Linked DNA regions of Bombyx mori. The main gene of each other region encodes a partner of the protein of the gene in region 2 in a complex. Links are inferred from orthologs where the notes say so. Each region holds a gene or a part of one and is shown on either strand. Other genes may lie near its edges.

Region 1 (3,957 bases), on a different chromosome or scaffold from region 2:
AATGGTCCGCGCGTAGTTGAACAGCCCCGTAGGCTACCGAAGATTAGGCAGTGAAAAATAAAAACTGTTGAGATTTGAGGTTTCGGTCTAAAACAACAGGTTATCAAATGTTTAATATAATAAGATCAACTCTAAATGCATGCAATTTTAAATATCTAAAAAGAATAAAAACAAGGTTACAATAAGTGTTTTTAATGTTATTACCACTTTTTGATTGTTACCAACCACTTTGTTACAAAATCATTAAAAAGTATTAAGAACTTACTAAACTTAAACTACACTTAACTACACTTAAAACTATGTATTTTGAGAGCTCCCTGATTGACTGAAGGTTGAACTATTTAAATTGAGCGATGGTGCTGTCTTTTTCGTTTTCTGTAAAACAAAAAGTTGATTATTTGTTACAAAACTGTACTGCAAGTACATATAAGAATAATTGCACTCAGATCTTCAATTTTAAAGCCCACCCAAATAACCTTGCTAAGCATCTAACGGACAACCAAATGACAACAAGAAGACTGAAGAAGAGTGTCTTCAGATCTACTAGATCCAGTGTAGATTCACTGATATGGACATTGTGCGTGTACTGCCTATCAAATTATTTTTGTCAAAACTACAGTTGAAAGTCTAAAGACAGCTTACTGTAATTTACTCTATAAAACAAATAAAAAAATCTTCAATACCGAATTTAAGTTTAACAATGATATTGATAAGACCAGGTTTACAAACTCCAAATTACCGTAGTTACTAAACCTTAGGTTAGCTGAACTCACTGCACACTCACAGTTTTAGTTTTGGTAACACACATCATCATCACAACAATGTGATTTGCCCTTCTACTAGGACACGAGAGTGAAGTCTAGAACAGAAATCCAAGGATCCTTCAGAGTAGAATGCATAAATGTGTCACGTATAAGATGGTCCGAAGGATGGTACATACATTCAGAGATATTCGTAAAAAGGACAAAGTGGAGATGAAAATACAGAAGGATGTGTCTAAAGGAGAGTATATTACAATTTGTCACACATGTTCTTACCATTTGCATCCTTAAGAGGTTGTCCATAGCAGCAGGTAGAAGAGGTTTCACTGAGTTTATTTCCATCATTGTTAAATGATCTAATCTGCCATAGCCACCTGAAAATGTCAATTATAAATGTCCTGAATTTAACTTATGACTGAGTAAGTCACATTCTATATTTTTTTCTTATCTTAATTTAAGCATACCATTCTGGTGTTAAGTTGTTACCGAAGACCACATATCATCATTATAGGCTTTCTGATCCATGCAGGTTTACAATATCATCAGTTACAATAAAATAAAATATAAAATCCTCTCAATTCAAAAATCTTTAAAATGTAAGTTAAAAGTACTTAAAAGTAAAGTATTTTAAAGGAATCATTACAAACCTCCAGTTTTCATCAATGCATCCATTGATGTTCGTAACTTAGACATTCTTATATCCCAGATGTCTTTGATAATAGTCTTTATTTCTGGTGCATTGGGAACATCTTCGGCAGCTGAACCAAGTATCAGTTTGGCTTCCACCATATAGTGTTCATTTGGCATCTTTGTGAAGAATCTGGTAGTTTGATAATTTTAGGAAGATTTAATGTGAAAACTTTGACTACTACAACTACTTGCTTTATCTTGCTGATAATTCTCAAACGCCATTTAATGATAGATTTTATATTTACACACCCTTTCATGAGTACTGGCAAAGATATATTTATTGACCAATGAACTTCAAGTTTTTTAATCATGTTACAATTTGAGATTTATTAACAGGTAGACCACTAATAGTTATTGTTTAGTATCAGTGTTAGAATGGATGGCTCTAGAAGGTATTTATAACATAAACCATAATAATAAAATATACTTTTTGATTTAAAATTAAGACATGGAAGTTGTATAAACAAAATATTAAATTGTATCTGGAATAAACTGGACCACCTAGAAAGATCAAAGTTTTGAAACTGGTGTGTTTTGTAAAAAACCAAATTTATTAAATATATTGACAAACCTGGAACGCTTTTCCTCTTCTTTAATATTCTCCAAAACTTCCACGTCCATCCAGTCAGGAGGGATAACATGGCACTTTTGTTTCTGCTTTAGCATGATAGCCAGCCAGAGTGGTACGTTCACAGGTAAACCAGCACGAAACGGACCAAATTCACCGCATATCAAGTATATTTTATCATGGGTAAAGTTTGGTGTTATACTGATTATCCGATTCTCACCAATAAACTCGATTTCATAAGGTTCCATTATTATTTTTATGGTTTTAATAATTTATAATCATTTAATAATATACATATATTTAATTTAATTCATTTTGGTTAAAAATTTAGGAATATTACCTACCTTTATCATGTTTTTATTTATCATATTTTTTTAGGTATTTTATATTATGACCTGGTAACTAAGACTTTTAAGTCATGTCTTATTTTAATTTATACTCTTATTTTTATGAAAAATGATGAAATGAAATGAAGATAATTAATTTGAGACATTAATTAACTGGGATGAAATCAAATGAAATGAGATGAGATGATATGGGATGAACTATAATCTCAGTAAAATGGTGGTCATTTACTGAGATTTTTTCGTTGGACTTTTGGAGGATCCCGAGAAGTGACGTCCAGCGGCTTTGTTTCATTTTCCCACATTTTTGCACTTTCACAGATATTAAACAGTTAATAAACCACCATTATTACACATATAAACCCAAGAAACACTAAATAGACAAAATAAAACAAAACACACAACTTCACTCCTCGCGTTCCCGCCAAAAAGTCGCCTTATCTTTATCACTGATCTCAAACGTCATAGAGCGAGATTAGTAGACTTGCCAGCTAAAATCGGTACATTTGTACTATTTTGTACCCAAAATCGGTATTAGTCAAAAAATATACAATATTCAATCAAATGCGTTTATTTATTGAAAAAAAAACTTACATACTAATTTATAACAATCATATTTAAGAATAAATATTTTTTATACCAATATTGTTTGGCCATAGCTGCAGTCATCGTTGAATTAATTTCAAAATCATAGCAATTAGCTGTATTATAGAGTCGTTTTGCATGTAATAGACCAGTGATTGACTCAGTAGACAGCCTATTTCGCTGTTTTGTTTTCAAAAGAATAAATATGCGTTCAACGTTAGCGGATGAATAGGAAAGTGATAAAATATTAAGGATGAAATTAGACAACAAAGGAAACATTTGAGTTTCATCGCCACGTTTTAATAAAGTTACTTCTTCCCAAAATAGTTCTACATCATTAGGAAATGTTTTGATTTATTCACAATTTCTTAAAATGCGCTACTCTATCAATTTCCTGGAAATCATTGCTCTGAACAATATTGGGAAAGAGCCTACTTTTAAGTAGTATCGAAGTAGTCTTGCCAATTTTAACATGTTTTGGATCAATAATGTCTAAAAGTGTCAAATCGGTAGAAAAATCGGGAGAATTTCCATGTATACTCTGAAATCGTAGAAAAATCATTTTATTTCGGTATTTCAATAGATCAGTGCCCATATCGGTAGATATACCGAAAAATCGGTAGGTTCGAGACCACTGATATTTACTCTTGTTTATAGAGCTTAATTGTTTGACTTTGAAACTCAAATAGTAAGTGTTCTATGCTTTGACATACTGACATAGTGATGCAGATTTTTTGGCGGTAAGTGACCACCATTTTACTGAGATTATATTTCATCCCAGTTGATTAATGTCTCAAATTAATTATTTTCATTTCATTTCACTCCATATTATCATTTTTCATAAAACTATGAATATAAATTAAAATACGAAAATACGAAAAATGACCTAAAAGTCTTAGTTACCAGTTCATAAAATCCCTTAAAAAAAAGGAAAATTGGCGGGAATAACGTTTAAATAATACGACTTAGTAGATCGAATTTATGAAATAAGTTTCATAAATCCAGTGTT
Region 2 (4,264 bases):
GGCAAAATAATTATAAAAATATCTCCTCCTATTTAATTAAAAATAACTTCTATTTTCACTTACATCTCCCATGACTAAATTTGACTCATAAATTAACTAGATAACATTCGTTATACTTTCATTTTGCGTAATTAAATAAGAGATATTTGCATACAACTCAAAACAATCGATCGATATTTAATCAACAAATTCGTAACCATAGCAACCCCGCCGTAATTTAAATTTTACAAACAGTTGAGGTTTTAAAATAGTAGCGATGAAATGTTAAAAATGATCACCTCCTTTAATTTTAAAGAGAAATAAACAAATAAAATAAAAATATTAGGTATAATGATTTTATTAAATTGAAATTGAGCCTTCGAACTCAAGCTCAATTAATTAAATTGTTCTGGTGTTTTGTTACTCAAGTGCAGTGCCAACATCCACATTGTGATGTCAACATGCTCCAGTAAGGTCTCAATTGCATAGTGGCTGTCCCAATCCAAACGGGAAGGCATGAATCACTTTTTTTTCTACCTACGGTGGTATCGTTAGAGGGTTATGCCAGCGTCACTGAACTAGTAGGTGAGCTCACGGGGGTCTAACCTGAGGACGTTACTAACAATAACCCAACAAGAGCAGTACTTCGCAGAATCAACCAACGGAGCGGAAACGCAACCGACTGAAAAGGAAAACCGGCGAGAAACTCAGTGAGCTGTGTCTGTGGGTTAATTTACTTACCGAACCCTTCGTCGCACGCGACGGTTTCGATGACCGGTGCTCGAGGTACCTAAAAGCACCTACTCAGGAGGATCCAAAATGACGTGCTTAAGGCGACGTCGACTGTTTCGGTCCGCAAGATCGGGTATGTAGTTACCAGCGGCCACGGCAAGAGGGTTTTCGTGTCGAGCCGCTTTCTCAAAATGACGCACCGATTCTGACTGTATACACCTACTGATGGAGTCTAACTCCATATCGTCGTGAAGATCCACGTTCCTCATGAACCACGGTGCTCCAACGGCTATCCTGCAAAAACAGAATTGGATGATTTGAAGGGGCTTCAAAGTAATTCGAGCCGCGTGAGCGAACACTACACTTGCACAGTTCATGACTGGACGTATGCAAATTTTGTATAATGTCATCTTATTACGAAAGGACAATTTACTTTGCTTGCAAATCATCGGATAGACCTGCACAAATGCGGCAAAGAAACAAAGGCACTGGATGTAGCTTCTCGGGATCTTCCAAAAAGTCTCAATAAATAACCACTATTTTACTGAGACAATATTTCATCCCATATCATCTCATCTCATTTCATTTTATTTCGTTTTCATTTCATTTCATGCTATGTTTCTTAATAATCAACTTCACTTCATTTCATAATATCATTTAACTTAAAAAAAAGTTATCATTTATATTAACATAAGACTTGACCTAAAGGTCTTAGTAACCAGGTCATAAAATCCCTTAAAAAAAAAAGTTTCGCGCCAATTAAATGTGTTTGGGAAAGGTAAACTTGTCAGTGACGATAAAATTAGTTTTAAATTTAAATTAAATAACATATAACGGGTTAGTTAGGTTGTGATTTAGTAACATGGAAGGTTTTGATGATCCTGGTGTATTTTTCTCTGATAATTTTGGTGTAGAAGAAAACGAATCTCAAGATCATGTTAATTTACAAGCAGTCAAAAAGAAATTCAAAGAATTCATGAGACAGTTTCATACTGGAAACTTCAATTACAAATACAGGTAAAAAATCGTTTCTTAACCAGTACCTAGCATAGGATTTCAAACTAAACTTCATTCCTTGATACAAATTGTAGAGATGCCCTCAAACGCAACTATAACCTAAACCAATATTGGGTCGAGATAAATATTGAAGATTTGTCTAGTTTTGATGACGTTCTTGCTGAAAAATTATACAAGAAACCAACTGAACATTTGCCTATACTAGAAGAAGCTGCTAAAGAGGTATTAAGACAAGTTGTTGATACATAATATTATGGTATAACTAATTATTTATTACTCCTTCAATAAAACTGTGGATAGTTTGACAATGCACACCCACTTAAAGAGACTTGTAACATTAAATTGTTTTGGACCAAATTATTATATAGTAAAACTTGAATACAGTGTATATGAGCTGTTAAAATCCTTACATAAAAAATTTAAAGGTATTACTAAACAAAACTATCTTTAAACTAGATAAGGAGTAAATAGGCTGAGTTGACTAGTTTTTTTTGAAGTCTAAACATCATACACGAGAATGCCACCATCCACCTGGAAATAAAGCTATAGTCATTATCATACTATTTTCAATCACACTTAAGATAAGTGTAACAACATTCTAAATTTAACCTACATAAGAAAGAGACTGTTTTGAAGTCGTTGTGACCTAAAAGATAAGACGTCCGGTGCATTCGTGTTGAAGCGATGCACCGGTGTTCGAATCCTGCAGGCGGGTACCAATTTTTCTAATGAAATACGTACTCAACAAATGTTCACGATTGACTTCCACAGTGAAGGAATAACATCGTGTAATAAAAGTGAAACCCGCAAAATTATAATTTGCCTAATTACTGGTGGTAGGACCTGTTGTGAGTCCGCGCGGGTAGGTACCACCGCCCTGCCTATTTCTGCCGTGAAGCAGTAATGCGTTTCGGTTTGAAGGGTGGGGCAGCCGTTGTAACTATACTGAGACCTAACAACTTATATCTCAAGGTGTGTGGCGCATTTACGTTGTAGATGTCTATGGGCTCCAGTAACCACTTAACATCAGGTGGGCTGTGAGCTCGTCCATCCATCTAAGCAATAAAAAAAAAAAAAAACTTATTTTTTTTATAATCTGTTAACCTCTGCTTGTTTTGATATGCAGCACCTAAAGGTTGCAATCAACTAATGTACATTTTCCAGTTAGCTGATGAGTTGACTGCACCGAGACCAGAAGGTGAGGAGAAAGTTGAGGATATTCAAGTGCTTTTGTCATCAGATGCACATTCATCAAATTTGAGGGAGCTTAAAGTAAGTTAATATTTATCTAGTTATAAAATTTAAAAATAGTAAACAGATTCAAATTTAATTAACATTTCGTTATGAGCTTGTCTATACATTTAGGTTAGTAAAATAAATGTTGATTATATGACAAAATACAAAATGAAAAATTTTGTTTAGTCAGAAACTGTATCAAGACTAGTGAAGATTCCTGGTATTGTAATATCAGCATCCGGTATTAAAGCAAAAGCCACAAAAATATCCATACAATGTCGCTCATGCCGCAATGTTATTCCCAATCTTCCTGTGAAGCCAGGTCTGGAAGGATATGTCATGCCAAGAAAATGCAATACGTAAGTTAATTTCATTAAAGTATCCCAATTTTAAAAATAGTATGTTCTTTGGGACCACTAAATTTGAACCTAAAGTAAATATTCTCTATTACTGAGTCATACCAGTTTTGATTTTAAGCCACTAATCTTATGTTTTATTATATGAAGAAAAAGGAGAATCTATGGAAGAAAGTTTCTCAATTACTATACCCTGGTTATATCTTGAGACTGCTCTAGATAATATATTCCCTAAACTCATTCGTGATTTATCTTCATTTTTGTTCTTTCATTTACACATTTCATGTTTCAATTTTCAGAGAACAATCTGGACGTCCTAAATGTCCTTTAGATCCATATTTCATTATTCCCGACAAATGCAAATGTATCGATTATCAGGTAATTGTAGTATTAAGATGTCATTATGTAAATTACATTACAATACTTCTATTTATAACTGTCAGAAATGTTTTGAAATGCATCATATTAAAAGTATTAATGGTTTAGTTTAGTGTGCACATGTGAATATCTTAGAAATAATAAGAGATATAAAAACAGTGATTTTCAAATTAATTTACAGGTGTTGAAACTTCAAGAAGCACCAGAAAGTATTCCACAAGGAGAAATGCCAAGGCATTTGACTGTATACTGTGATCGTACATTATGCGAACGTGTTGCACCAGGCGCACGAGTCACGGTTTTGGGGATTTATTCTATAAAAAAGATAGCAAAAGTAGGGGTTAGTACTGAATATGACTATCATTTAAGAATGACAGTAATAATAATTATGCCAATGATTTTATCAAAACTTCGAGCCTGCGAATTATTGTAGTTCGTGATTTGACATTTACAGCGCGAGGGTCGCGACAAAGGCTCCGTAGGCGTCCGGTCATCGTACCTACGAGCCGTAGGGCTCACCGCAGAGGAAGGTGTCACTAGCGGCCTGAGACCCTTTACTGCAGAAG

Evidence for each region. Proteins that work in one complex are often made in the same cells at the same time.
Region 1: DNA replication licensing factor Mcm5 (region 2) and probable DNA replication complex GINS protein PSF2 share a complex: the UniProt entries of both Homo sapiens proteins name them as parts of the CMG helicase complex. The link is inferred for Bombyx mori from reciprocal best matches to the Homo sapiens genes MCM5 and GINS2.

What each region holds. Positions count from the first base shown.
Region 1 is NC_085116.1:1,524,802-1,528,758, reverse strand, and holds probable DNA replication complex GINS protein PSF2, read right to left. Parts: upstream 2,801-3,957; 5' UTR 2,268-2,800; coding exon 2,023-2,267; intron 1,582-2,022; coding exon 1,409-1,581; intron 1,136-1,408; coding exon 840-1,135; 3' UTR 376-839; coding exon of another isoform or gene 298-375; 3' UTR 177-297; downstream 1-176. UniProt on the Homo sapiens protein: Required for correct functioning of the GINS complex, a complex that plays an essential role in the initiation of DNA replication, and progression of DNA replication forks.
Region 2 is NC_085131.1:8,499,306-8,503,569, reverse strand, and holds the start of DNA replication licensing factor Mcm5, read left to right. Parts: upstream 1-1,464; 5' UTR 1,465-1,573; coding exon 1,574-1,728; intron 1,729-1,802; coding exon 1,803-1,950; intron 1,951-1,963; exon of another isoform or gene 1,964-2,259; intron 2,260-2,892; coding exon 2,893-3,000; intron 3,001-3,150; coding exon 3,151-3,323; intron 3,324-3,619; coding exon 3,620-3,698; intron 3,699-3,879; coding exon 3,880-4,038; intron 4,039-4,152; coding exon 4,153-4,264. Other genes in the region: dynein beta chain, ciliary, read right to left, coding at 64-72. UniProt on the Homo sapiens protein: Acts as a component of the MCM2-7 complex (MCM complex) which is the replicative helicase essential for 'once per cell cycle' DNA replication initiation and elongation in eukaryotic cells.